Coturnix japonica: one gene and its partners. The protein of the gene in region 3 interacts with the protein of the main gene of each other region in a pairwise test. Links are inferred from orthologs where the notes say so. Each region holds a gene or a part of one and is shown on either strand. Other genes may lie near its edges. The genes, in order: KIFC3, KIF5B, zinc finger and BTB domain-containing protein 8A, AP1M1, FAM161A, RPL9 and BYSL.

What was found.
Region 1: the proteins of zinc finger and BTB domain-containing protein 8A (region 3) and KIFC3 interact in binary tests that used the Homo sapiens proteins (3 or more experiments, as listed by UniProt). The two-hybrid records come from large-scale screens. The link is inferred for Coturnix japonica from reciprocal best matches to the Homo sapiens genes ZBTB8A and KIFC3.
Region 2: the proteins of zinc finger and BTB domain-containing protein 8A (region 3) and KIF5B interact in binary tests that used the Homo sapiens proteins (3 or more experiments, as listed by UniProt). The two-hybrid records come from large-scale screens. The link is inferred for Coturnix japonica from reciprocal best matches to the Homo sapiens genes ZBTB8A and KIF5B.
Region 4: the proteins of zinc finger and BTB domain-containing protein 8A (region 3) and AP1M1 interact in binary tests that used the Homo sapiens proteins (3 or more experiments, as listed by UniProt). The two-hybrid records come from large-scale screens. The link is inferred for Coturnix japonica from reciprocal best matches to the Homo sapiens genes ZBTB8A and AP1M1.
Region 5: the proteins of zinc finger and BTB domain-containing protein 8A (region 3) and FAM161A interact in binary tests that used the Homo sapiens proteins (3 or more experiments, as listed by UniProt). The two-hybrid records come from large-scale screens. The link is inferred for Coturnix japonica from reciprocal best matches to the Homo sapiens genes ZBTB8A and FAM161A.
Region 6: the proteins of zinc finger and BTB domain-containing protein 8A (region 3) and RPL9 interact in binary tests that used the Homo sapiens proteins (3 or more experiments, as listed by UniProt). The two-hybrid records come from large-scale screens. The link is inferred for Coturnix japonica from reciprocal best matches to the Homo sapiens genes ZBTB8A and RPL9.
Region 7: the proteins of zinc finger and BTB domain-containing protein 8A (region 3) and BYSL interact in binary tests that used the Homo sapiens proteins (3 or more experiments, as listed by UniProt). The two-hybrid records come from large-scale screens. The link is inferred for Coturnix japonica from reciprocal best matches to the Homo sapiens genes ZBTB8A and BYSL.

The regions. Positions count from the first base shown.
Region 1 is NC_029526.1:1,981,525-1,985,672, forward strand, and holds the start of KIFC3 (kinesin-like protein KIFC3), read right to left. Parts: upstream 2,801-4,148; 5' UTR 2,786-2,800; coding exon 2,651-2,785; intron 1,345-2,650; exon of another isoform or gene 1,264-1,344; intron 447-1,263; exon of another isoform or gene 382-446; intron 339-381; exon of another isoform or gene 145-338; intron 1-144. UniProt on the Homo sapiens protein: Minus-end microtubule-dependent motor protein. Involved in apically targeted transport. Required for zonula adherens maintenance.
Region 2 is NC_029517.1:12,865,640-12,869,139, reverse strand, and holds part of KIF5B (kinesin-1 heavy chain), read right to left. Parts: intron 2,595-3,500; coding exon 2,507-2,594; intron 1,295-2,506; coding exon 1,221-1,294; intron 652-1,220; coding exon 547-651; intron 208-546; coding exon 159-207; intron 1-158. UniProt on the Homo sapiens protein: Microtubule-dependent motor required for normal distribution of mitochondria and lysosomes. Can induce formation of neurite-like membrane protrusions in non-neuronal cells in a ZFYVE27-dependent manner.
Region 3 is NC_029538.1:4,572,794-4,576,838, reverse strand, and holds the start of zinc finger and BTB domain-containing protein 8A, read right to left. Parts: upstream 2,801-4,045; 5' UTR 1,988-2,800; intron 1,411-1,987; exon of another isoform or gene 1,063-1,410; intron 946-1,062; 5' UTR 924-945; coding exon 1-923. UniProt on the Homo sapiens protein: May be involved in transcriptional regulation.
Region 4 is NC_029543.1:3,468,908-3,473,077, forward strand, and holds the start of AP1M1 (AP-1 complex subunit mu-1), read right to left. Parts: upstream 2,801-4,170; 5' UTR 2,737-2,800; coding exon 2,695-2,736; intron 2,146-2,694; coding exon 1,989-2,145; intron 1,747-1,988; coding exon 1,679-1,746; intron 1,103-1,678; coding exon 972-1,102; intron 742-971; coding exon 594-741; intron 173-593; coding exon 46-172; intron 1-45. Other genes in the region: protein FAM32A, read right to left, coding at 3,549-3,617, 3,716-3,769, 3,848-3,986, 4,058-4,134. UniProt on the Homo sapiens protein: Subunit of clathrin-associated adaptor protein complex 1 that plays a role in protein sorting in the trans-Golgi network (TGN) and endosomes.
Region 5 is NC_029518.1:13,371,497-13,374,258, forward strand, and holds part of FAM161A (protein FAM161A), read left to right. Parts: coding exon 1-8; intron 9-428; coding exon 429-596; intron 597-1,133; coding exon 1,134-1,233; intron 1,234-2,198; coding exon 2,199-2,341; intron 2,342-2,762. UniProt on the Homo sapiens protein: Involved in ciliogenesis.
Region 6 is NC_029519.1:62,572,151-62,576,344, reverse strand, and holds the start of RPL9 (60S ribosomal protein L9), read right to left. Parts: upstream 2,801-4,194; 5' UTR 2,720-2,800; intron 2,327-2,719; 5' UTR 2,326-2,326; coding exon 2,280-2,325; intron 2,198-2,279; coding exon 2,082-2,197; intron 1,270-2,081; coding exon 1,174-1,269; intron 868-1,173; coding exon 735-867; intron 1-734. Other genes in the region: LIAS (lipoyl synthase, mitochondrial), read left to right, coding at 2,898-2,984, 3,339-3,511, 3,869-3,962.
Region 7 is NC_029541.1:4,735,622-4,739,855, reverse strand, and holds BYSL (bystin), read right to left. Parts: upstream 2,801-4,234; coding exon 2,415-2,800; intron 2,334-2,414; coding exon 2,195-2,333; intron 1,988-2,194; coding exon 1,854-1,987; intron 1,668-1,853; coding exon 1,507-1,667; intron 1,302-1,506; coding exon 1,199-1,301; intron 1,068-1,198; coding exon 719-1,067; 3' UTR 453-718; downstream 1-452. Other genes in the region: MED20 (mediator of RNA polymerase II transcription subunit 20), read left to right, coding at 2,799-2,908, 3,053-3,204, 3,369-3,622. UniProt on the Homo sapiens protein: Required for processing of 20S pre-rRNA precursor and biogenesis of 40S ribosomal subunits. May be required for trophinin-dependent regulation of cell adhesion during implantation of human embryos.

The DNA of each region.
Region 1 (4,148 bases), on a different chromosome or scaffold from region 3:
AGCAGCAGGACGCGCAACCCGCAGGGCACCCCACGCCCCTGCAGCTCTGCAGCTCGCTCCCGCTCCCCGGCCGCGCAGCAATGCGAAGAATGCGGGCTTGCCGGTTCCTCCCCCCGCCCCTCCGCGGAGCTGGGCGCTACTCACGCTGCAGGGGCAGCTCCCGGCCCGGGCGGGCTGCCGGCATGGCACGGGGGGTCCCCGGCTCCGCGACCCCTCGGCTGCCGCAGGGAGAGCGACTCGGCACCTCGCAAAGTCCGCCGGTCCCGCTCCGCACCCCGGTCCCTCCCACCGCCGTCCCGCACACAAAGGGAAGCCCGGCCCGGCCCGGCCCCGCCCGCTCCCGGTACCGCCCGCTCCCGGTTCCCTCCCGGTGCCGCTCACCGGCCGCCCGCTGCGGCTCCGCTCCCCGCCCCGGTCCCGCCCACCCGGGCGTCGGCACCGGCTGCTCCGCCCCGGTTCGTTGCCCTGGTAACGCCCGGGACCCCCGACGGGCGGCGGTGCCTGGGGGATGCACGGCCCCGCAATGCCACTCTCAGCCCCACGTAGCCCAACTCTGCCACTCAGCCCCTTACAGCTGCTCGTAGTCCCACACAGCCTCTCTCAGTCCTACAGAGCCCCATATAGCCCCTCTCAGCTGTACATAGCCTCACACAGCCCCGACCTGCCCCTCTCAGCCCCTTAAAGCCCCTCATAGCCTTATCCAGCCCCCACAGCCCCTCTCAGCCCCATATAGTCTCTCTCAGCCCCACTGTGGGTGCTGTAGGTGTTCACGCAGGGCTCCCCGTGTCCGTGCAGCGGCTGCCGCTGGTTCAGCGATGACACGGGCGGACACGAGGTGACTGTAAGCATTCCAGCAGCGACTCTAAATGTCGTATTGTCACTGCCTTAATTTACGAGCTGTGAGGGCAAAATAATGTTTATGCAAATAGCTCTGGGCGTTAAGTCATTTCCTGTCCTTTGAATGCTTCAGGTTTTTTGATGGCATTGCAATTATGCAGCGGGCGTACGTTGCGTCAATTGCATCGAGAAGAGACTAAATGGGTGAGGGGAGATGGACGGCTCCCAGAGCAGGACCCCAATGCACCAGGAGATCTGGGTGCCCACCGGGCCGGTGGGGTTTATCCTAAGGATGGTACTCGGGGCTGAGCATGGAAATCCCGACCCTCAGGGCTCTTTCGCATTGGAAGCAGCCCCTCTATCACCCTCATATTGCGCGAGCAATAGGGCTGCCCCCCCACCCCCCTCTCTCCAGCCCCAGCTCACTGCGTGCTGCCTTTGCTTTCTCTCCACGTTCCAACGCGGCGCCGCGGGCTCTGCCCTTCCTTTTAGAGCAGCTCTTTCCCCGTCTGCAAAGCATCCCTCCTCGCTGCCAGCCTGGGAGCAGACATCCGAGTGCCGGCCCGGGATCAATGAGCGCTGGGAGAGCAGCAGGAGGGCGGCCAGCCCCGCTGCCACCTCCTGTGCGTGTGTATGCAATGAGGGATCGGCTCAGCCAGGCGGCTTCATTCCCATTTCCCCCCTATTTGCCCACGAGTGTGGATGGAGGGAAGCCCCATTGATTGTGCCGATGGGGGCCCTTTGCATTTGCAGTCTGCTCTGCCCCGAGCAAATATTTAACCTACATCTGTAACACCTCGGGGGAGATGGGGGGAAAATACGATATCCTGGCCAAAGTTTAACCTCCCCCTCCATTCCCTTCCAGCAAACTGATGGCAGGAATGCAGGCGTGGGCACACCTGGGTGCTCTCTGTAGGAAATTCCCACCGGGAGGATCATCAGATGGAGCGAGAATCATCCCCACAGAGCAATTAATGATAACGCAGCTCAGTGCTGTAACTCCACTCCTCCCTGAGAGCCCCAGTGAGGGGATCCCCGTGCTGAGCCCACAGGAGCAGCTAACGAAACCCCACAGTCCCTCGTTGCCATCTGAGCTCTTTAACGAGTTTTAATTAAGTCTTAGTGTGCTCCTGAGAAATTTGTACTCGTTTCCAAGTTCACAGTGGGAATTAACCCAACCCGCAGGCAGCGATGCTGAGATAGGGCAGCACTCAGGTGACCCGGAGCTGCCCCCACTCACCCACCCAACATCAGCAGCCCTGTCTTTTTCTCCTGCTGTGCAGCTGGAGGGTCCCTGCAGGGCCTGGCCCCATCCCTGCCCTTCTCCCCAGGAGCTGAGCCAGGAGGTGCAAATACAGGCAGAAAGGATGGCAGCGGTCTCCTTTAAAAAAGGCATCCCGTCCTCGGCGAAGCTGTCTATTTTTAGTGCCCTCGGAAGCACGTTTGGTTTTGGAGGAGACGCTCAAGCAGTAATTGTGAATAATTTAGGGAACTGAGTTTGGAGGCTGATGTCAGCAGCCGTGCCACTAAGGGACACTGAGTGCGTGGCTTTGGCTGCTCAGAGCTGAATCCCACAGGGACACGCAGCCATAGGAGCCTCTGTGGGAAGAGCAGTGCTGCTGTGCCCTTCTGGAAGGGGAGAGCAATGGCACAGCTCTGTCGCCTCCCAACTGCTCGGCCTGCAAACTTACCCTGCCATGCATTATTCACAGCTCTCATCTATAATGCACAGCCCTACACCCGCACCTGGAGCTGCATGGCGATGGATGGACACTGCAGCTCACTGCCATCGCTCCCACCCCATGTCTCTCACCTGGGGGCCGGGCCCTGCTGCCCACCGCCTCGCTCCTGGCAGTCCCCTGGTGCTCTGCAGAGCCACGCTCCTCCATTTGCTGTCCTTAGTCCAGCCCAGCACTGAGAGTGCAGCCAGAGCACCCAGCGCATGCATGGCACTGCCTGCTCCCCAAAGGGCCCCCAGGGCGGCTGCTGCAGAGCAACTCTGTCTGCAGTGGAGGAGAAAGCGACGTCTCCTCTGCTCCTGTCTGCCGGTGCCTTAAGAGCAGATTAAAACCCAGCCCTGCAAATTGCTGACACAACCTATTTCTTAGATGGGTGGACAGGTGGACTTTTCTCCCTCTGCAGATAACAGTGCTCAGATGGCAGCACGTTTGCTCCCTGAGTGCAGCCATCCACCCCAGGGTCTCAGGAACACCCAAACCTTTCCTGTTCCTGCAGCAGGAATGACACAGAGCCCCATTTCCCTCCCATCAACCCGCACGTGCAGGCTGTCTGAAGGCAGCCAGGAACGGTGAGAGCAGGGAGATTTGCAAAGCAAACAGCGATCAAACAAAAAGGCTTTGGTTACTGTTCTCGAGGCTGTTTGCCAAGACACACAGATCATATCGGGCTCATTTACAGAAGGAAAACCAACGTAATTAGCGCACAGGAAAACACTTTAATGAAAAGAGCCTTCGTGTAAAAAGCGATGGGACACTGCCCAGTGCTGCAGCAGGACCCAGAGCCATGCTAATGCTGCATGTCCCAGCTCAACATGGTCACACCGCTGTGCTGCATGCACTGCAGCAGGCAGTAACCATGGCAGCAGAGAGATCTGCACGTGATAGCAGCATTTCTGCAGTACAAAGGAGCCTCTTATCTGGGCTGAGCCAATCGCCAGGCTGCTGCTCATTCTTCCACCTTGTGCTAGGACAGAGCCGTGCCATGTCATGCCATCCTATGCCATCCCATGTTGTGCCATGCCATGCTACGCTATATTCTGCCATGCTGTGCCTCGCCATCCTGTGCGATCCCATGTCATGCCATCCTATGCCATGCCATCATATATCATTCCATGCCATGCCATCTTATGCTATGCCACCCTATGCCATTCCACAGCATGCTATCCCATGCCACACTATGCCATACCACCTTATTCCACCCCAGGTCATGTCACTCCATGCCATGCCATCTTGTCATCCCATACCATACCATTTTATGCTATGCCATTCCACACCATGCCATATCACCCCATCCTATGCCATACCATCTTATGCCATTCCATGCCATTCTGTCCTATGCTATTCCATCCCATGCTATGCCATCCTATGTCATGCTCTTCTATTCCATGCCATCTTATGCCATCCTATATCACTCCATTTCATGCCATGCCATCATATGTAATGCCATGCCACCCCATCCCATGCTATGCCAAACCATCCTATGCCATCCTGTGCCATGTCATGCCCTGTTGTGCTGTGCCATGTGGTTCTAGTGGGTCCCAGCCCGGGGCTGGCAATGTGTCCCTATACAAC
Region 2 (3,500 bases), on a different chromosome or scaffold from region 3:
CATTAGCTACGTGTGGTCTCATTTTGCTGCATCTATATCAGAGATGGGCTACTTATTAACATAACACATATGTCTCAGTATCATCCTAAAGCTTTTGTTCTTTAAATCTCTCTACCAAGCAGTTTACTTCCTATGCCCAAAGCAAATAAGAAACTTACCATCCAAAAGGTCCCTTATTTTATCCAAGTATATTTCAAAATACGACACCTAGAAGTGTGAAACAAATGGCATTAGAACACAAAAATGTACTTCAGAAGGACTCAGTACAATAACCACAACCTCTCATGTACTGCCATATCTAGTTGACAACCACGAGGACAAACTAAAATACACAGCATTGACACAAGTTATCTACCATCAATGTTTAATGGAAACAAGATTAAAGTGTTAATGCAATTATTCTTTGAGTAGAGCCAGTTTCTGAAATAACTTGTCTTTATATTTTCCAATTCACAAGCATTCGTAACAGATATGAAACATCCATTCCGCAACAAACTACTTCCAATTTTAATATAGATTAAATATAGGAAATAAAGAAACCATTACCTTAATATGAAACTCAAGATTCTCATCCATAGAGTAAATATAATTAAAGATATCTTGTACTATTCTTGGAATAATTCCCATTCCATCTGGGTCGTGAAGCTTCCCCTTTTAGAAAAGGGAATGAAAAAACATTAATACACAAAGTATTTGAAGGCAGAATAAAAAGTGAAACAAGATAGCTCTGAAGTGTTGGTGGGTAAAATGCACTTATGTTTATCTGCAAAGGAAGCTCTTAGCCATCCACTTAGGGCCAGAAGTTGCTAGAAACAAAAAGAACAGCCTCAAAAACGTCACACACAAAGATGAGAAATCTACCATGAACAATCCTGCTTTTGATAGCTGAATAAATACAGTAACTGCCATTCTTACATATGAAAAATATTTTAGGTATCCAAAGTTTGTAATAGGAAAGAAAATGAAAGATGCAGATGCTTCATTTCTGGAACTGTTCAAATTTAGGGTGGATGGGGACTTTAGGCAACTTAATCGAATGAAAGACTTCCATCCCCACTGCAGAGTAGTTGGAACTACTGATCTTAAAAGATAGTTTCCAACCTCAACCATTCTATGATTTCATAAAAACAAGCCAATATCTCATCTCTAGGAATATAACACCACAGTGGTGAAAAGAGATGAAAACAATATTAGAAGAAAATAATTTTAAGTTGCCTTACTTCCATAGTGTGCGTCTTTCCAGATGATGTCTGCCCGTAAGCAAATATTGTACCATTGTATCCCTCAAGTACATCTAGAGGAAAAAAATATTTTCATTAGGACTGATTCCCTTCTCCTAAACAAAAGTCAAATAAAATAGAATGTGAGCAATTCCTAAAATGTTCAGCAAGTTGAGCCATTCAGTGACTGAAAAGTAAGCGCTACAATACTTGGTGCTGGGAGAGGAAGGCAGCAGTGTTCTCCCTTAGCACTTTTAATGCAGTCACTACAGATTGCATTTCCAGAAGCTGTATTAGAAGCAGCTCCTTCAGCCAGCAAAACACAACTTGAGAGTTGGTAATAAGAAGTAAATGAATACAACTGCCACATTGTACAGACAGCCTTTGACCATTTAAACAAATTGTATTATGCAGTACATTATTTGCTGCCTTCACAGTAAAGCTGGAGTATCTGATTATTAAGAGAATGAGCTAAGCTAAAAGTTTCCAGCATCTTATCACTTGGCCATAAGCTTATGTTTTAAACCATGAACAACTCAACTCTGAGTTTCAGGTTGAAGGGTAAGGGCCTTCAACACTTCACTCATCTGGTCTTGCCTCTAACAGCTGATAGTTTACGCACTCCTAAGAAGGCTTTGATACAGTTGTTTTAAAGCTGTGTCAATTGGAACTTGTACTGATCTACTTAAGAAATGAATCAATTTTATTTTGAGGGAGTTACCTAACTCCTTAATAAGGTACTTCATTGTAGTATAACCTTCTCTATTAGAAGACTTGAGCCCCAGAAGCCACAAAGCCATTAGACAGTTCAAGTTTAGAGAGAGTACACTCTGATAAGCACTGAAATCAGGTAACTCATAATTGCAAAGTTAAAACAAAACAAACATGAAGTTTCCCAAGTTTCACCTTACATTCCTCCAAACAAAAATAACTGTTTTCTGACACCAATTAAAAAAAACTACTCATACGAGTTGTTTTCAAACAGACAGAAGCCTATCCTTTATTAATTTAAGGCCAATTGTTTTAACCTCTAGCAAGATCTGAAAATAAAAAATAAAAATCAAACTAACAGGTAATTATCATCAAATGCTGCAAACAACTGGAGAAGTGGGCTCAGTATTGACATCATATCACCTCAACTAGAGGATGATTTTATACTCTGAACCACGATGACTGTTATTAAACATTCAGAAGGTAAACGGGAGCAACAGAAGGTACCAGATTTCAACATAAAAACCCACACAAATAAGGTGTTTCCCAAAAACAAAGAGTTCATCCCACCTTACCTTTGACAATCTTTTTAGCACAGTCATTGTATACTTGCTCCTGGGATGTGTTTGACTGGAATACACGGTCAAATATATATGGCTTGGACTGCAAAATAGAAAGAAAGGCTGTTAAAAAAAGACTACCTGGGAAGCACAACTGAAAGGTGTTTGTTCACACAGCTTAGAAGCAGCCTACATGGTCTCGGTCCGATCTCGTGTTTTATTTTAAGTACTTGAAGGACGCAGTGAGGAAATCGGCTTATGTATGTGTCTAAATCTTCACATGTTTGCTTACAAATAAGGCCTTGAATTCAGTATGTTTGGCTTTTAAGTGCAACCCAAACTATTTGCCATAACTACACTGCTACACGACCTCTACTCTACTTACACTGTAAACCAGTGCTTAGTGTCTATACCTCTGAGAAAACTTCATTCTTCTCCACTGCTTTGGTAAACCCAAATTATTAAAAACAACTCGTATCACATCACACACAATATGCCTTCATAGTATTTGTTAACAATCTCAAACCAAAGGAAACATCCAGGTCACCTACAGTCAGCACAAGGAACATTTCCCCATGCATGATATCCTTACAATGAGGCTCTGTAAACAGAAGGAAAAGGCCACTTTGCAGGAAGGGAACCTTCCAAAGATTTCTTTAGGAAAACACTGAAAGAGGAAGCTCTGACACAGCTTTATGAAAAGAACTGGGGATTTGGTAACAGCTGTAACAAGCTGACAGTCCATAAAGATGAGTTATTAAGTTCATCTTACTAAGCTGAAAATTTCCTAGAACTTTCAGAGTTTATTAATATCTTTGCAGACAGCTGAGGTTTCCAAGGGCCTTAAGTCAATTCCTACCACTGAACTTACTGTAACCGTTCAATGATCCATTTGGCCTATGTTTAATTCATTATCATCCTTCCCCTCCCCCAAGGATCCTGTGGGACGGCCTTCCTGGCAGCAGAACAAGTCTAGCTTCCATCTTTTACCCACCCACTCACCACATTC
Region 3 (4,045 bases):
CCCATCACACCTACAATGGAGGGCATGCTGGGGTACTGCTCGTCTGCTTTTGGAGACTTGGATTTGCTGGAAGGACGGGGCGAGTCGCGCTCCTGCTGCGACACGGCTGAGCGCCTGGAGATCACATCGGAGCCCTGGCCATACTGAAACCCCACGTGAGGAGATTCCGCTTCTGCCTCAATCTGAACCTGGTCCTCAGGTTGAGAAATGTGGCCAGCAGGCTCAGCAGCCCTGTCCTCCAGTTTGCTGGATTTATAGTGTGGAATGTCAGCGGGTTGCTGCAGTCCCGGGTGTCGGGATTTCTTTATGGCATCCTGCCTTTGCTCGTGCTTGGACAGCTGCTGCTGCGTGTTTCTTTGAGAAGCTGGATAGTAGTTGAAGTTGCTCCAAGTGTTTCCCCTCATACACGTCCCTTGCTCTGGGTTTGGCTGTGGATGTGGGGGGCTGCTTTCTGCCCTCCAGCCCGCGCCGTACAGACACGGCTGCTCCCCGCCATTGGAATTCACCTCCTTGTCTGAGAGGCTGAAGTATCGATCCTTCTCCTTCTCACTGATGTCCAGAGACGACTTGATGAACGTTTTACACACGCTGATAACGTCGGTCATCTGAAGGTAACTGGCGGCCGACATCACCTCGATGACGTTCTGACCAGTGAGAGACAGTTTGCCCGAATACACAAAGTCCAGAATAACTGTGAAAGTGTCCGGAGAAAACGCCTGGAAGGTGGCGGTGGTGGGTTGAGTCATTTCCTTGGAGCTCTGCGAGAGCAGCATCTTGAAGTACCCGCTGCTGGCAAACAGCACATTGCGGTGCGCCCTGAACACTTTGCCCTCCACCAGGATGTTGCAGTCACAGAACAGCTCCTGCCTGCGCTGCTCATTGAGCTGCTCCAGGAGGTGAAACTGGTGGGACGAAATCTCCATCCCAAAGCAGATGTGCTGTGCTCTAGGAAACAAAGGGATTAAAACAAATTACAATCGTGAATTCCACGTTGCGCTGCTCGCCAAGGCCGGCAGACCCCATTTAATGGATATTCTGAAAAATAATCTTATTGAAACACACAAATATATTTGAATTAAATATCCCAATATCCACCACCAGGCATTGCTGTTCGAAAAGGATGGAACGAGTCCATGTGAGGCTGCCTGTGCTGTTTGGCAGCGATGTCAGAGCTCCGAATGAGCAGCAGCAGCATCCTCAGATGGAGGCTGAGAAACGCGGCGGCACCGTTCAGCCGTTCACCGTCATGGCGAGGAGCCCAAGGAGCCCGAGGAGCCCGAGGGAACCGGCAGAGCTGCGGCCTGTGCCCGGTGCTGCCGTTCCCGCACCGCCCGAATCCGGCCGGGCTCGAATCCATCCCCGCCCGAGGGACCAGAAACGGGAACTCGGCTCCGGCCTCATCCCTCCCGTCCCGGGCTGCCCCCATTGGCCGCCGCCGCCGCCACTCACCGCGCCCCGCCCGCACCGGCCGCCGGCAGCCCGTGACGCCCGGCGGCACTGTGCCCGCCCGCCAAGGCGCGGAGCCGCCGCCCGGTATCGGCCGCGATGCCGCCCCGGGGCCGCCGCCCCCGCTCCCGGTGCTTTAACACGGAGCGGCGCCCTCGGCCGCCGTCCCGCGTGGCGCTGCCCTCGGCTCCGCTCGGCTCCGTGCGGGACGCGCCGCCCGCCGCCCCGTGGCCCCGGCTCCGCTCGTTCCCGCCCCGCTCCCGCCGTGTCCCTGAGCCGCCCCCGCCCGCCCCGCCCGGCTCAGTCCCACTTCCCCCCCCGCTCTCCGCTCCCGCGCCGCCCTTTGTTGCCGCGCCCGGTTTCTCTCCTTCTCGCCCGGTTTCTGGCCGCCAATGGCGCCCGTTGGCGCTGCCGGGGCTCCGCGGCCCGCCCGGCTCCCGGCGGCGAACGGCGGCACGGCCGGACCGCGGGGCTGCGGCTCCCGGCGCCGTCCCGCCCGCAGCCCCGCACACGGGCTCCCTCCGCCCCGGCCGCCACTCACCGCCGGGTTCCGCGGGCGGCTGCCGCTCGCTCGGTCGCGATGGAGGCGCGGGCGGAGGGTGCGGGGTCCCCGGCTCCGCTCGGGCCACGCTCAGCGCCCCGTTCCCGCAGCCCCGAGCCCTGGAAGCCCGAGCGGGAGAGAAACAAAAGGTATTTGCTGACGTGGGCGTTGGACACGGACGCCCGAGGGCTGGGGACACAATTAAAGGGGCAACGCACCGACTGCAGCCACAGCCCAGCAGCTCCCGACGTCTGACCGCCCTGCAGCTCGCGCCGCTTCCGTCCCGCACACACACACGATCCGTCCGGGTGGGGCTGCGATGTCCCGGTTGTTTCTCACACCTTTATGTGTAACACGGGCCCAAATGACCCAAATCCTTCCTTAACGTATCTGCAGCTTCCCCAGGAGGAGATGCGATGTCTTTCCTTCACATCTCAGTTGTCTTTGGAAAAAGCAGCACAACGCCTTCAATCAACCTCCACCTCTCGACTTCTCTCGCTCCAAGTTTGACACCCTTCACCTTCCTCTTCTTACCACCAGCGTCTTTTCTCTCCTGACCCTCATTTGTTAATCATCCCTTGTCCCATGTTCTGCCTTAGCTGTATCCTCGGTTCCTTTCAACCTTCCCTTGCATAAACTTCAGACATTCCATCTTGAATCAATTTACGTTCCTTTCCCCATCGTAGCAGAAGCAGGAAGGCACCTAAAGGCTTTTTCCTCCCCCACTTTCATTCTCGCAGTCTCTCCTCTCTTCACATTCAATTTACGTCCATTTATGTTGGATCGTTGTATTTCCCCGCTTTTATTCCCCTTTTTAATAAACTTCTGTTGTTTTCTCAGTTCTGTCTCATTTCGAATTTTGCTGTGCAGGCCACACTAAAAATCCTTCATGTGTCTGTGTTCTTTCAGAAAGAGAACAGAGAGATGACAAAAGTCCAGCACAGCTTTGCATGAATTCCTATGGGGCGTGAGCCAGCCAAGGCAGGGAAGAATGAAGCAAGTGAAATACATGGGAATTTATAAAATCACATCAGGATCAATAGGAAGTGATTGTCAGCTGCTGATCCTGGTGTAAGGGGAGGTGACGGCAAATGAAGCGATAGCGGTTGGCAGCAACAGAGCAGCAGGATGTGGTTCTTCACCTGACATAGGCAGGCACAGGAGCTCCTTGTTGTGCAGTTGTGGAAGCGAAATGTGAGCGTTACACGAGGCAAGGGTACAGCTATTGAGACCAGGGTACAGCTATTGAGACCAGGGTACAGCTATTGAGACCAGGGTACAGCTATTGAGACCTGTGAGTTACCTGCCATGCACCTCTGTAAGCCTCCATGTCTGTAAGAGGAGCATTCAGGTATTAGTGCTGCTAAACGCCTCTTGTTTCCTCGCACAGAGCAGGCAGCTGTTGTGAGCAGGACAACAGGGCAGATGAACTCGTGTTTGTCCTGGTGTTACAGCCCAGCTCTGCAATCCCTGAGTTCACAAAGCCCTGGACAGTGGCTGCCAATAATCCATGTGCCTGTCGGTTCAACTAAGCAGCACCACTTGTGTATATGACATCCTACATCATGGTTTCCCCCCACTTCCATATCCCAAATAGTTCTTGTACTGAAAAATTCCTTCTGAAAAGAATAGATTGTGGGTATTTGTTCTGCACGACCCAGCTGACACTGCACAGACCAGGTGCTTTCCTGGCGATACCAGAGGGCACCGAGCTCAGCAGTTTTATCAGTGCAAGCAGGAGTTTAAGGGTTCTCCATCGGCTACAAAGAGGTCATAGAATTTTAAAACTAGGGGAAAAATGCTGTGATATCTCGAGTAAACAAATCAGATCTTTAAACCTGATACGAGTGCTCAGAATACTCAGAATAGTTCAGGAAACGCCCAGAAATTCACCCAGTGCAGCTGGGATCACAATGGAACAGAATGGGGGTTTTCTCAGACATCAGGACTCGTTTCGCCCTGTGCTGCACAGCAACACATCACAGCCATTCCAATGCTTACAAAATAACAATAATAATCAAAGCCAAAGCAACCCTCTGAGAGTTTTATTTTCTAGAC
Region 4 (4,170 bases), on a different chromosome or scaffold from region 3:
GAGAACACCCATCACAATTTCAAAAGATATTGCTGAAATACTCACGGCCTGTGTTATCAAAGAGAACTTTGTCATTTAAACCAAGGCGGAGCTCTGGCATTCCTGAGAGAAAGACTCTCATTTTAATGGATCCAACTATTTCACTCCGTAATACATTTCCATTGGCACTAACCTGAAGGGTAATGAAAAGAAAGATAAAGGTTGCCCTAACACAATATGATATGAGATCAAACAGCAATCCCACCCCATCCTCAAGCCCCGGGTCTCCGTGGATGCTTTTCTTCCGAGCAACCAATCCAACACAGTACAATCAGACTAAGGACAAAGTGGGAATAGACTGAAAGAGAAAGGAAGGACACATTGGAAACCAACTCTGGGACTACTGGGCACAGAGCACAAGTTCCAGTAAATGATTATTTATCTCTGGCTGTCATTACAGATTGTCAGTTTCAATGACAGACAGCATCCCAGCACACTAATCATGGTTAGGCTGATTTTTTAATATATAATATATAATATGTTTTCAGACAGTAAGTTCTTCTCAAGACTTCTACTAATAATTCTCATTAAAAGTTCAAGTAAAAGGTACCCACCAAAAGGTTAACAGACTCTATAACATCCAGGAACACTTCATTCTTCCTATATTTTATCCCTTCTGATCTCCATGAAACAGCATTTGTAACAGTGGCAGGTGGACGTGGAGCTCCAGTTTCAAGTTTGTGACCTTCCTGAGTGATGTACCTTTATAAGCACAGAATTAGAACAAAAAATACAAATTATACTCTGAAAAATCTGAAGTGTCTTTTATATCAGATACACATCATCAATAAATAAGTTGGATATTATAATACTTTATCAAGTATTAAATATTTTGATAACTAGAGGAGGAACCCAAAACATTTGTTTGCATGCAAAATACAAAGACTTTCCCAAGGACTTTACAAATATGAGCAATAAAGACTGATACTTACTCTTGTAAAATTTTACTATCAGTGGTTTGTGGGTAACCAAAATCCATAAGCTCATCTAACAACTCATAAATAATAACAAAATTATCTCTAATGCTCTCTTCTTCCAACTCCTTGAAATATTCAGAAAAAACCTGAAACAACAAAAAAAAGAACGAGAGGGAAGGAAAAAAAGAAGGACATGAGCTGAGGAACTACAGCATATTCTGAATGTATTCCTATAACTAACAAGAGTTTGGAAGAAAAAAAGGAAAAAATAAATAAATCACCAAAACAAAACTCATAATTCCTAAAAACATTCTGTCCAGATTAGCAGCAGGAAACTCACCTCAATTAAAAGGGGGTTAAAGAGACCAAGAAATAAGTCTGATCATTACAAAAAATATTTATGCTGGGAAAAACAGTTGTGATGCCAGTTCCAAATTAACCCAACACAGCACCTATATATGGCACTATTCATACATCAGTGTTTTCCTCTGTGTTCTCGGGTCATGTGCAACTACTCACAGCATTGTGTCACATCCTTTGCCTACTCAGTTATAAGATATCAATTCCATTCTTAGTGGTTAGGAAGACATTTCTATCAAATAATCAAATATAAAGGAAAAATAGTATAGATTCTATTTAAAAAAAAAAGTGAAAGCTCTATGCATTTTTATTAGATCACACTGAAAAATAGATGGGAAATAAATCCAAAACTTCCTACTCACCTGAACTACTTTATATAAAAATGAAAACACCAGTGATACACAAGCATTCTTCTTAGAAGTTGCAACAACTAATAAAGGATGTTCAGGAACACGCATTCAAAGTCATGGTGTGATGAAAAGCATTTTACTGAGTGTGCTTTTAAAAGCATTGTAAAAGGGGCAGCCTGATCTGGTGCCTGATTTAGTTTGTGGCAGCCATGGCTGAGGCAGCAGGGTTGGAACTGAAAGATCTTTGAGGTACCTTCAACCCAAGTCATTCTATGATTCATTCAATGATTCACACGTAGGTTGCCTGCAGCACAAAGGATACGATAGAGGTTGTTATGTTTAATCCACATGAAACGAACTCCTCCATGTGCTAGAATAGGAGAAAGCGTTCCCTCTTCTTCCTTTTCCATAAGGATTGGCATAAAATGCTCCACTTCTGACATGTCCACATCCCCACGGTAATTTCGACAGATGAGAACCTACGGAAAGAACAATTCCTTACACTTTTCCTTTGAGAGATGACGTTACCATGCCAGACCAGCACAGGGGATAGTTAAAATACCTCTTAACTGAAAAACCCACATATCAAGCTTTAATCAATGGTCTATACATACTACAAACGCAAACCAAAGTGCCATTATATGTTGCAATTTGAACGCAAATCCCCAAGCTACGCAGTCGTATCTCCTAGTGTTATTCCTCACACAGCTACGCACACCCTAATAATAATAACTTTTGAGATGGAAAAACACACCGCTCTCCTGGGACAAGCCTCCTCCCATTAGGGCTGATATTACTGACCGCAGTTGTGATGCTCGGGGCTGTGCAGGCAGGGCCGCTCCCCGACTCGGACAAGGCGGGACCGCCCCACAGCTCGGGGCAAACAGCGAGCGGGAAGGGGAAGCGGCGGCCGCAGGGCAGCGAGGCCGAGAGAGCCCCACGGTGCCGGGCCCCGCCGAGCCCAGGACGGGCCCGACGCTCTCGGCAGCTCGGGGTGAAGGGCGCCCACAGCCGCAGCGCGGCCTCACCTTTCCCTTCAGGTCCAGCACGTACACGGCGCTGGCCGACATCGCGCCGCCCGGGGCCGCCGCGCCCGCCGCGCCCGATCACAGTCACAGCGACTTCCGCTTCCGCCCGCCACTTCCGGTAGGAAGCGGCTGCACAAGGTCCGGCCGCGCGGAGGGATACGCGCAGTGATCCGCCGGCAGCGGAACAGCACTTAAGGCACCGATTGCTGACGTTAAGTAGTGCGCGGCCGGCTGAAGTCCGCAGTTAGGAAGGCTGAGGAGCCCCGGGACGGGTCAGCGGTACCAGAGGGAAAACGCTTGGGTTGAATTAGTGTGTGAGGGTCTGGGATGTGATTCACATCACCTGTGAGAGCTGTAAATGCAGCCATACAGACTGCATGCAGCACACCACCCTCACTGCAGGGAAAGGAGCACCGAAATAATGGATAAAAGGAGCTTTTTAATAAGTTACAGTAAAGACATAAGGATTGTAGAATACAGCAGACACCACTGCCCCAACTCAGAGATTTTATATAGGAATTACACAGTTCTGCCACTGATAAGAGCAGCTCATACAATGTAATGCTGCCACAGACTGCTTCTTCTAAGAGCTGCTGGCATAGGACAAATAAAGGAACATTCTCCTGTTGTCTCACAGCAATTGGGTTCAGCTTTGAGCACTGAAAAACACCCCATAAGTCAACAGCCAAAGAAGAGGTTTTGTTGAGTATTTTGAAACTGAAATACGGCAGTACAAGGTGATAAATGTTCCGAAGACATATGAAATATTCAGTATCATGAATACGGAGGTTTACACGGCAGCCCTGTTTGGTGTGAGCACAACTCCTGACCCGAGGCCCCGAAACGCCGCCCGTTCACTTGGTCCAGCTGACTTTGGGGATGTCGTAGTGCTCCGTCAGAGTGTCCAGGTGCCTGTTGAAATCCTGAGGGGCAGCAAAGGAACAGAGCGCTCAGAATTGGAGCATTCACCATCGCGCAGCCCTCCCCACAGCGCTGCCCAGCTGATGGTACTTCCACTCACCTCAACTCTCTGTTTGTGTGTTTTCGAGGCCTTCTTCAGGATCCTCTCCATTTGCTGGAAGAAGACACAAGATCACAGTTATTGCCGTGGGGTTCCGACCCGCCCCACGTCCCGGGGGCAGTGCGGCCCTACCCGCTTCTCCTGCATCTTCTCGTAGGCCACTTGCGCCGGGGTCCGCTTATCCAGGCCGCGCTTCTTCTCCTCTTCCTGCTTCTTGCTGCTCACGATCTGCTCCAGGATCTTGGCCTTGTCCTTCGCTTTCTTCTTCTTCCTGCGGACAGACGCCGCTCAGCTCCCAGCCCCCGGCCCGGCTCCCGGTTCCCCCCTCTCCCTGCCGCTCACCGTTTGCCGGCCCCCAGCCCCGCTCCGCCGCCCTTCAGCCGCAGCGGCCCGCGCTGCACCGCCTCGTAGTCCGCCATCGCTCGGCCGCCCAGCGCCACAGCGACCCCTGGCGG
Region 5 (2,762 bases), on a different chromosome or scaffold from region 3:
GCCCTAAGGTGACTAACTGCTGCAGTGATGCTCTGTGCCTTTAAATACCTAGAGAGAATTCTTTTGTACCTCTACAGATGCAATTAATTATTTCATGCAGTGAATATGGGACTTAATATGTTCAGTTGTACACCATTGTCAAGTCCTTACACTAAACACGGGGCTTTACTAATACTGGGTTTTCCTAGAAGCAGTAATGCACATTCCTGCACGTGTCAATAGGAAAGGGAAGAACGGCCTCAGTTTGTCAGGATACGCTCTAATCCCTTACAGTGGCACATACCCATTTATACCAAGCCCTTTTTCATCCCCCCTCCCCCCCTCCTCCATTTCTTTTTTAGTATTTCAAATTTCCTTTGCCGAAGCTTCCTTTGAAGTCTCGTGCCTGATTTCAAACAAACTCAGCCTTAGTTTGTTTCTCCACCCAGGAATTCGCATGAGGAAAAGAGAAGGCTGGAAGAACAACAGAAAAGGAACAGGACAAAGCAGAAACAAAGAACAAAGAAACTGCAGAAAATTGTCACGACTCGGGCTGAGGCCAACGACCCCCATCAGAGCCTCGCTCAGACCTCTAAATCCAAACTAAAGGCGTTCAGGTATTTCATTGCATCCCCTGAATCCTGAGCCTCTCTGCAGAAACTCAGAGACAATATGGAAAGAGGTGGGGAAGGCAGAAGAATCTATTATAAGAAACTATACTCAGGCAGGCCCCGTTAGCCTCACTGGACAGGACTTCTCGCTGCTTATCCAAGGACACTACTTCAGAAATAGTTTTGTCCACTGGTATTCCAAACAAGGATGTTCTGGCAGTGAGGCCCTGGCACAGTTGCCCAGAGAAGCTGTGGTGCCCCATCGCTGGAGGTGCTCAAGGCCAGGTTGGATGGACCCTGGGCAGCCTGAGCTGGTGGGGGCAGCCCTGCCCACAGCTGGGGGTTGGGGCTGGGTGGGCTTTAAGGCCCCTTCCAAATCATTTTATCATTCCATGAAGTTGAGGAGGTAAACCTAATTCCACTGTAAGACAGTAAAACCTTATGCTTTTTTTAACCAGGGACCATGCTTGTCATGGAGCAATTGGAAGGAAGTACTTCTTGTGTTACAGACAATTGACTTCTGTTGCACTGTGTTTCCTTTAGGAACTCCGCCAAGCAGAGAATGCAGGAGTATTTGCAAGAGTTACAAGAGATGGAAGAAAGAGTAAAGCAAAGGCCATTGCTCTTGGAAAGAGTAACACAGGTTGCCTTGTTTGTCTGTTTCTTAGACTCATCTCCAGTTAAGTGTGTAGGGAACTTTTAGTCAAACACTGTTAAAAGTTACATGAAGTTATTTAGACAAGTTTTTGTCCATTTTAATTTCTACTGCTCCATCTCCCTACAAATCACTTTTCTGTGACCAAGCATTCATGGTGCGTTTGCGCAGGGAAATGAGATGTTTTAAAGACATCCAGTGGTTCAGTTATAACACACACAGCACTGAGTCGAACACATTTACAGCAAAAGATGAGAGGTTTAATCTGGGAGAATACTAGGAGATCTCAAGCATTCCCCATGTCTACTGTAAAGCTGAGATGCAGAATTTTCACCCCTCTGTCTCAGTAAAACAAAGCATTGGTAGCACAGTCCCCGACTGCTTTTGGAATAGAGAGGCAGCAAGGCATAGACAGCCCATTCCTCCCAGTTCTCTCATCCCTCCCAGGTGGGTTTCCTGGCCCAGCAGTGCTGCAGGGCAGAGCATGCATGAAGGCTGGGGACAAGGCCTCCTCACCCAGCTGTCACTTGGAGGAGCAGAGCTTACACAGCTTGACAGAGAGATTCAGATTTGCACAGCACATCAAAACAGCACTGTGAGAGAGTAAAGCAATGTCATGTTTCAGAGCAGCAGCTCCCCCAGAGAGAAGCAGCCCTAGGAAGAACACAGCTGATGTTTCAGGTCTGTACCTTCTCCCCGCTCCCTCAATAGCATTACACAGTATTTACAGCGCTTTGTTACCCGGCGGATGTAGGGAGCAAATTGCATTTGAACCAGTACAGAAAAGGGAGGAAGATCTGCTATAAAGTTCTCAAGTAGTTTTGCCATTCTTAGCTGTAGTGAATAATCGAACTTAACTTCTCACGTGCAAATAATGAAACAGTATTAATATAAGCAAAAGTATCTGAAGACGGGCATTTAGCTCATACTTCACCCTTGTGTTTTTCCTACAGAATAATGCCAGAATAGCTGCAGAAAAATATTATTCTAACAGACTGAGAGCTCTGGGGGTGTGCCCAGACTTGGTTTCCAAGAAAGGACAAACAACTAAATTGCAAGAGTACTGCAGTGCTGAAGATTTTGATGCCAAAGAAAGGTAGAGATCACAGAAGGGTTTTGGTTTTGCTGCTGTGTACCGAGTAGTAATGAGAGCCATTTTTAATGCTGAGAAAATCATTTGCAGTACTTCCAAGTAAATATTGCAGCGTGTGTGGTTGTTTTGCCTGAATTGTTTCCTGAGTCAGAGAAGGGCTCTGGGTATGTTATACACCATGCACTTCAAAGAACAATTCAGGGTAATATTTTCAGTCTGGTTCTTTAACCGTGATTTCTGGAAGGCTGCTGAGAAGTCATTTCATTCTGCATCACCTTCACTTTTATTTCTGTTTTTTAAAATAAGCCTTATTTAAGGCTTCTCAATATCCATTTGCTGTTATGACAGAAAGGAAATGGAAAAGCCAAATATATAAGCAGTACTGTTACTTTCTAGCGTAAAAGCAGAGTCCAGCCTTCCCTCT
Region 6 (4,194 bases), on a different chromosome or scaffold from region 3:
TCCGCTTCGCCAGCTACAAAACCAGCTGGACTTATGTTTAGGTTGGATGCTACAAATTCCGTCTCAGAAAGAGTGGTGAGGCATCGTAACAGAATGCACAGAAAGTGCTGGATTCACTGTTTAAGGAAAGGGTAGATGCACTACTTAGAGACATGCTTTAGTTGTCAATATTGGTGGTAGTTTGGACTAAATGATCTTAGAGATTTCTTTCCAGCCACAGTGACTGTATGATTCCTTCTGGAAGCTTAACAAGGTCCTTCCAATGTTTGCCTTGTTAGGCTTCTTGCTAAACCTCATGTACACAGAGCTAATGGGTAAGATGAAAACTGAGACGTGTCCCTGGCTAATTACAAAATTAAAAATACAACTCTTTAAATGCAAGTGAAATCAGATGACCTGCAAAGATTATAATAGAAACACTGGTCTAAAACCAAGCACCAGAAATTTACACCAACAAACACTGTGAAGATCTAACAACAATGAAATGAAACACTGGGATCCTTTTAACATCTATTGCACTAACTAGCTTTATCATTACTAAGGATAAATAACAGAACGGATATTAACCATCAATCTGCACTGAGGTAAATGTATTGTAAGGTGACATAAATACAGAGTGAAAAATGCTGCTTCCAGTAATCAGCTGTTCCTTGCTACCAGTGGCAGTACTGAAAGGGAATAGATTGGAACCCCGATTAGAAATAGCTGAGCACAGTATGTCCAGCTGTACCCACCTGGCCTCATGCGCACCCTGCGGATGTACTTCTCTCCCAAAAAGTTTCGGATTTCCACAAGTGAGCCATTCTCCTGTATAACTACATTGATTGGGAAGTGAGCGTACACCGACCTCATCTTATAACGGAAGCCCTAGGATAAAAGGCATCGTTAGGCACTGAAAACTGGAAATCAGAACTCAGCCAGAAAGGAAAACAGAGGCATAAAGCTCACTGGTTACATTTAGGAACAGAATACACTGAAGATTTGGTCCCAGTAAAGATATTAAGCTCAAGAAACACTCAGAGCTTATTGTTCATTCCTTCCTTCCCCTGAATTTGTTTGACATCCAAAAAGAAAAAAGAAAGCTGCTCACATGCACAATAACTGACATACATGGAAAAGCTCATTCAAGTCTGCCCATTTTTGCCCCCAAATGCCATTGGAACAGCATCTTACCAGCGTCACGCCCTTTATCATGTTCTGTACATGGCTGCAAATGGTGCGAACTGTTGCCAGCTCCTTCCTGTTACCCCACCACTTGTCCACACGCAGCTACACAGAAATAAATAACAACAACAACGCTGTAAGTTACATTCCGGTACTAAAAATAAAGTGGCTTTGTGACAAATTACAAATGAAAAGCTATTAAAAGCACAGATATACTTTATTTCTTCAAAAGACCATTGAAGACCAACCCAGCTCCAGTCCCACATCGTGAGCCACAGACACACAGGAAGTTTTTTCCTTCTTTTTGTCCCATCAGAGAAGGTAGGACAGGCAGCAGGTCTAAAAAGGCTCAGAAGCCTTAAACTGAAGAATGAGGCATCCAATACTAAACGCTAAACTAGTTGTTCTGAAGTCAGCCTACTATAACGCAAGCTATCCATTTTCTCAGTTACACAGTGTTAGGATCCAGAGCTTTTCTGACAAATTAAATGCCTACTAAAAGTTACCAAAATCGGCCATTTTCCCCCTTTTTCTTTTCTTGAAGACACCACATGAAAATATCACACACACATTTAGGGATCAGCCCTCCCAGTGTAACTTGCCAATTACTTTTACTCAGCTAAAACCTGTCAGGCAAAAGAACATCATACAACAAGGAATCCCCTTCGCAACAATAAGAACTGCAACCACACAGAAAAACAATCAGCACCACTCCAAGACACAACAGAACCTCAAGCCTGCCATGGAGCCCAAGCAGGCCTCAGCATCCCAGCAGATCAACTTATCCCAGAAAACACAACAGAGCTCATTAACAGAGCTAACAAGGCCAGATACACCTGGTTGAAGCTCCTGCTTTTCAGGCCTTTAAGCAGGCCGTGCTCCCCTCCCCCTGTGGTTACAGAGCGCGTGGAACTCACCTTCCTGCGCTTCTTTCCCAGCAGGGACAGCTCCACGTTGATGTGGTTGAAGTCTCTCCGCAGGGTCCCCCGGGGGCCCTTCACGATCACCGTGCGGCCCTTCAGGGACACGGTGACTGCAAAGCGAGCACAGACAGACGCACGTTACAGCTGCGATGCCGGCAGCAGGTCGGGCCTTCCAGCAGAGCGCACACGTACCTTTCGGAGGGATCTCCACCGTCTGGTTGCTGAGGATGGTCTTCATCCTGCAAACGACAACCACCACAAGCTGCAGCCCAGGAGGAACAGCGGCTCCTCGCACCGCCCCGCTCCCCGCACGTACCCGCGGCCCGCAGCTGCGTTGTCCCGGCAGCTCCCGACCCCAAACTACCGCCGCTACAGCCGCCCGCACGCAGACCCGCCCCAGGCGCTAAGGAGGCCGCGGGCTCCGCATCCTTCCCCACAGCAGGGCCCGGAGCAGGGAGGGGCGGAGGGGGCGTCGGAGCAGGCGCCATCCCGCCGGCTTTCCCCGTCGGACCGCGCTCAGGGCGCCGTGGCGGTTCGGCCGCAGCCCCGGGATGGCGGTGTGAGCCCGGCGGGGCGGCGCGGGGCCCGTCCGCCGCCGATGGAGCTGGATGCGGAACCGGGCCCACACTCACCTGGCACCGCGCAGCGCCGAAAGGGGCGGCGTGTGACGTCATCACGCTCTTGTAGCCGGTCGCGAGCAGCTGACGTCATCACGCAGAGACCGACGTCTGACAGGCCAGAGAGAGCGAGCTCCGATGGCAGCGAGCCGCAGCGGGACGGAGGGTGGACAGCGGGCAGCGGGGCGGCAACATGGCGCTGCTGAGCGGGGCGAGCCGCGGGGCTGCGGCCGGTACCACAGCGCGGAGCGTGCTGCTGCGGATGGGGGATCGTGCACGGGTGGGTGGATGGTGGGAAACGCCTGCGGGGGGGCAACTGGCTGCGTCAGTCACCGTATCGACAGCGCGTCGGACAAGCGGCCCTTGAGCTCCGCTTAGCGCTGCTGGGGAACAGGCTGCACAGGGAGGTTGTGGATGCCCCGTCCTTGGAGGTGTTCAAGACCAGGTTGGACGGGGCCCTGGGCAACCTGATCTAGTAAAGGTGTATGTTTGGTGGCCCTGCCAGGCAGGGGGGTTGGAACTACATGATCCTTGAGGTCCCTTCCAACCCGGGTCATTTTGTGATTCTGTGATAGCTGAAGGGAGTCAGTCAGTCCTTTATAATTCATTACATTATACTGTTCTTTTCTTTTAGGTGTCAGGGAACCACGTGTGTAACCAGTACGGAACATCAAGTTCTTTGCCTGAGGAGACAAAGAAAGCCCTCCAAACTGGACCAGACTTAGAAGACTTTCTATCGGGAGATCTGGCAGACAAGAGCGTGTGGGCTGAGTATAAAGGCAACTTAAAGCGTCAGAAAGGAGAAAGGTACATGGCATTGCAGTCAGCCGTTAATTGCTGTGCTCTGCACTGGTGTGCTGTGAAATCCCAGCATTACAGATGATGGTCTCAAAGCTTCCAGTGCCCTTTCTCACTGGATATGTAACAAATTGAAGTGGGTCTATATAATTAATATAGACCAACCTTCAAGACCAGGTTGGACAGGGCTCTGGGCAACCTGATCTAGTAAATATGTATGTCTGGTGGCCCTGCCAGGCAGGGGGGTTGGAACTACATGATCCTTGAGATCCCTTCCAATCCAGGTCATTCTGTGATTCTGTAATTAATGGAAATTTACCATGTAGATAATGTATTGATGTTGACATTTGTTTGCTTTTTGCTCAGGCTACGACTTCCTCCATGGCTGAAAACGGAGATTCCCATGGGCAAGAATTACAATAAACTGAAAAACACCTTGAGAAGTTTAAACCTGCACACGGTAGATCGAATATCAAACCAAGTTTTCCAGTAGAAATGATGATGGCTTTTTGTTCTGTGTTTGTTTCTGTGGAAGACAGAAAGACATTATGTCTTACGTGGTCTTGTGAATATTATCTCTTGTGAAATGTGTACATTTAAGTGCTAATGACAATCTATGCTAACTAATAAGGCAGTTACTCAGCTGAGGAGTTGTTGCTTCTGGGCTTATATAGTACAAAATGGAAATGGAT
Region 7 (4,234 bases), on a different chromosome or scaffold from region 3:
ATGCTTCCAGGAGCAAGGACAGGAGCTGGACATCTGCAGGAGCTGTAGTGTCCAGGTGAGCACCCAGGTAAGCGCGGAGCCTTGTGCGATGCCCCGCTGGATTTTACAGCAGAGGTGGCACTTCAAGGCAGCTGCCACGTGTGGGTTATGGCCTTGCCCCTTGCCCCCACCTCTCACAGGAAGATGTTTAACCCCAGCCCCTCTGCCCAACATCACAGAGGCTGCTTAATGCACAGCACAGTTGGGAACGTGCTCGCTGCTGACCAGAGCACAAGGAGGGCAGGGAGTTGCACAGCCCCTGGTCTCCTTTTGCAGCCGGGACAGCTGCAGCGCAGTGCTGCAAGGAGCCGCTGTTGGTGGCTTTGCTCTGCCCCCTGCTGGGGACAGGACGAGGGGAGGGGGACAGGGCAGGACGATGCACGGATGCAGCCACACAAAGATGCAACTGCAGGTCAGAGCTGCTCCAGGAAGGACCCAGCACGGGCTTTATTTTCCAGAACAGGAGCAGGACAAGCCCTACTGCTGTCCTGGGTGCCAGGGCTGTAGGGCTGCCCTGACACAAGCAGCGCAGGGAGCCCAGCCCAGCCCCGTGGTTACAGCACCATGAGCAGTGGGATCCCAGGGCTGGATGCTCCCAGACCCCTGGACGTGCTGCTCCCAGCTGTGCAGCAGCCCCCAGGAGCCAGGCCAGGCTGTGGTGCTTCCTTCCTTCCTCCCCTCACTCCATCACTGCCGGCTCCTGCCCCTCCACGTCCCGTGTCTTGGAGTTCACCAGCTCCCTGCGGATCTCGGCTGAGATCTGTGGGTGGCTGTGGAACTTGAGCAGCTCGAGCAGAGCTTCCTTCTGCTCCGAGGACAGGTCCTCCTTGTAGCGCTGGGCAAGAGCCAGGAAGCTCTGGTGCCACAGCACGGGCAGCGTGCGCTGGTCTGTGCGGAAGGCCAAGAAATGGAAGACCAGGGCATCCACCACACGGAACGGCAGCGCGTACTTCTTGTCGATGAGCAGCCGCAGGAAGATACTGTTGGCACCGTTATATGGCATCTCAGCAATCTTCAGCATGGCTGCACTGTGGGGACAAGGGGAGCAGCAGGTGAGGGCAGGGCACAAAAAGGACGGCTTTGAATCAGCCCTGAGCAAAGCTCCCCCACTCTGAGCTGTTGGATGGGCTGAGGGGCAGTGACTGCCCCAGTGCATTACCTGGAGTGCAGGACAGGGATGGAGCACTTGGTGAGGATGCTGCCGATGATAATGGCCTCCCGCAGTGTGCAGGTCCCCGATTCACACAGGGGGATGAGGATCCCTGTGGGGAGAGAAGAGCTGGGCACCACTGGTCATTGCAGCAGGCAGAGCTGTGGGGTGTGAGGCTCAATCTCTGCTCTCTCAGGGCACATTTAACCCAAGGAAATAACATCTCTGCATCATGGGCACCTTTCCACCTTCCTCCCCCTGCCCTGCCCTGCAGCAGGTTCCCAGGGGTGGAGTGCAGCCCTGCAGGGAGCCCCTACCTTTGAACCAGGCTCCTGGCTTGAACAGAGCCTTCTTCAAAGCCATGTAGAGGTGGAAGTTGAGGCGCTTATACTCAGCGATATCATCTCTGACCCGTGGCAGCAGCACCAGGTTGTAGAACCTCTGGGCCATCCTCTCCTTCAGGTTGGATGAAAATATCCTGTGAAATGCAAAGCATGAAGAGTGAGCTGTGACTCCAGAGCCATCCACCCCCAGCATCAGGATCCCCTCTGCTCCACAGGCACAGGGCAGGAGGAGCAGCTGTAGGACACACGATGGTATTTTGTCCATCTCGTTCCATTACAAGGAGAAAACAACAGCTCAGAGCACACTGAGCTGGTCCCACCTCGTGGCCTGGTACATCGCTGCTGCCGTCCACGTCTCGGGCTCCGTGATGTAGAGGATCTGCTCCCAGTTGGACAGGGCAGGAATGATTTTAAATGCCTTGGGGAGCTTCCCACTCCTGTATTTGGACAGCACCTTCAATGGAAGCAGAGGGGGAAGGGTTTGTCTCAAGGCTGTAAGCAACCTGTCTGCTCCCTGTGCAGCTCCACTGCGTGTGCTCACACAGCACGTATGTGCTCACAACACCCGAGGGACACAGCAGTGCTGTCTGCACTGCTCCGCCGGGAGCTGGGGGGTCCCACAAAGGTGTGTGTGGGGCCGGGGGGGCCGCAGTGCCCTCACCTCTCTGACGCCTCTGTACACCTCTATCACGCGGGGGTCGAGCTGGGGCATGGGGCGGCCCGACAGCTCGGACAGCGCCGTCTGCACCTCCGTCTGCTTCTCCGTGATCTTCTCCATGATCACATCCGCCAGCGTCCGCCTGGGGGGGCGGCAGGGGTCGGTGATGGGGAACCGGAGCTCCCCGTCCACCCCCCGCCCATTCCCACCCCTCCTCCGGTACCTGAGCGGCGCCGCGCGGTTCATGAACATCTCCAGGGCCTTCTCGTCCTCGGGATCCACCTGCACGTCCCCCCCGCCGCCCGTCCCGTCCCACTCCGCCGCCCGCTGCAGTGACGGCCACTCCTCGTCCTCATCGTCCTCCTCCGACCCGCGCCCGCTCGGGGCTGTCGGTGCGGGCGCCCCGGGGCCGTGCTCGGCCTCCAGCTCCTCCTGCTGCCTCCGGGCCTCCCGCAGGATGCGCCGGGACAACCGCGGCCCCACGTATCCGCCGTCCCGTTCCTCCGCATCGCGCCCCGCGTCCCGCGCCCGCCGGTTCCGCACCGTGGGGGCCGCAGCCCGCAGGATCTGCTCGTGCAGCGGCTCCGCCACACGCGCCGCCTTCGGCATGGCCGCAACAGCGACACGCGATCAGACGCGCCGGCGCCAGCACGGCCAGCCCCGCCCCTTCCGGTACCGGCACCGCCACTGCCGGGACGGAGCCATGGGGGTGACCTGGTGAGGGGCCGGTGGGGATGGGGTGATGGATGGGGTGATGGATGGGGTGATGGATGGGGTGATGGGGTGATGGGGTTGGGGCTGGGTTTGGGTTTGGGTTTTGTGGAGGCCCCGCGGCCATTTTTGCTGTTTGTCGCCCCGCAGCGTGACGCAGGTGCCCGTGTTGGAGGGTAAGAGCGTGCAGCAAACCGTGGAGCTGCTGAGCAAGAAGCTGGAGCTGCTGGGAGCCGAGAAACACGGAGCGTTCGGGGTGGACTGTGAGACGTATCACACGGCAGCCGCCATCAGCAGCCAAGGTGGGAACCCGGGGGGGGCGGGTGTAGTGCGGACATGGGGCATCTGCTGGGCTGGTCAGCATGGAGAGGAGAAGGCTGAGAGGGGCTGGGGGCGCTTATCAACCCATACGAATGTTTAAAGGGTGGGTGTCAAAGGAACGGGCCAAACGCTGCTTTTCTTTCAGGGCAGACGGGCAAACTGATGTACGTGATGCACAACTCCGAGTATCCCCTCAGCTGCTTCGCTCTGTTTGAAAACGGGCCCTGCCTGATCGCGGACGCCAACTTCGACACGTTGATGGTGAAGCTGAAGGGATTCTTCCAGAACGCCAAGGCAAACAAGATCGAGAGCCGGGGCACGCGGTACCAGTACTGCGACTTCCTGGTCAAGGTGGGAACCGTCACCATGGGCCCCAGCGCCCGCGGGATATCCGTGGAGGTGAGAATCACCTTTAAGGGTATGAAATCCAGGGCAGGGAAATCCCATGTTGGAGGCTTGGCTAGAAACCTTGAGTCCCCATCCCTTCCATGTATCATCTGTGTTACTCGTTGCTGGCAGGTTGTATTAATGCATTCAATGCCCTCCTGCTGCAGCTTTGGCTCTAAAGCTGCTTTCTCCTGGTCACAGAGCTCTGTGCTGTCAGTGCTGCCCCAGATCTGAGATGAGGTGCTGAAAGGTCTTGTAAAATCTGAGCATGTGTTTCCCTAAACACACAAATCCTATTAACTGGTCTGTAATTAATAATGATGGCGCATCTACCCAGGCAGGTGTTCCGAGCTAACAGGGATGGGATTGAGAAATGCCTTGGTTTTGCTTCATAAGAATAAACACAGATGTAGTGGTGCGAGCTGCTGCTGAGCTGGGGTTAAAGAGAAGCTTGTTTTACCCTAAGCTTGAGTCCAGGACCAGATTTTCCTGGCAGTCCGGCTGCTTCTGCTTTGGTTTAGTAGGTTGTTTTCTGGGTGTCCATTAGTACATAATCCCTGGTCTGGAACCGCAAGTCCTTAAATCCCAAGGCTTTATCATCACACATCTGAGAGATGTCGTGGC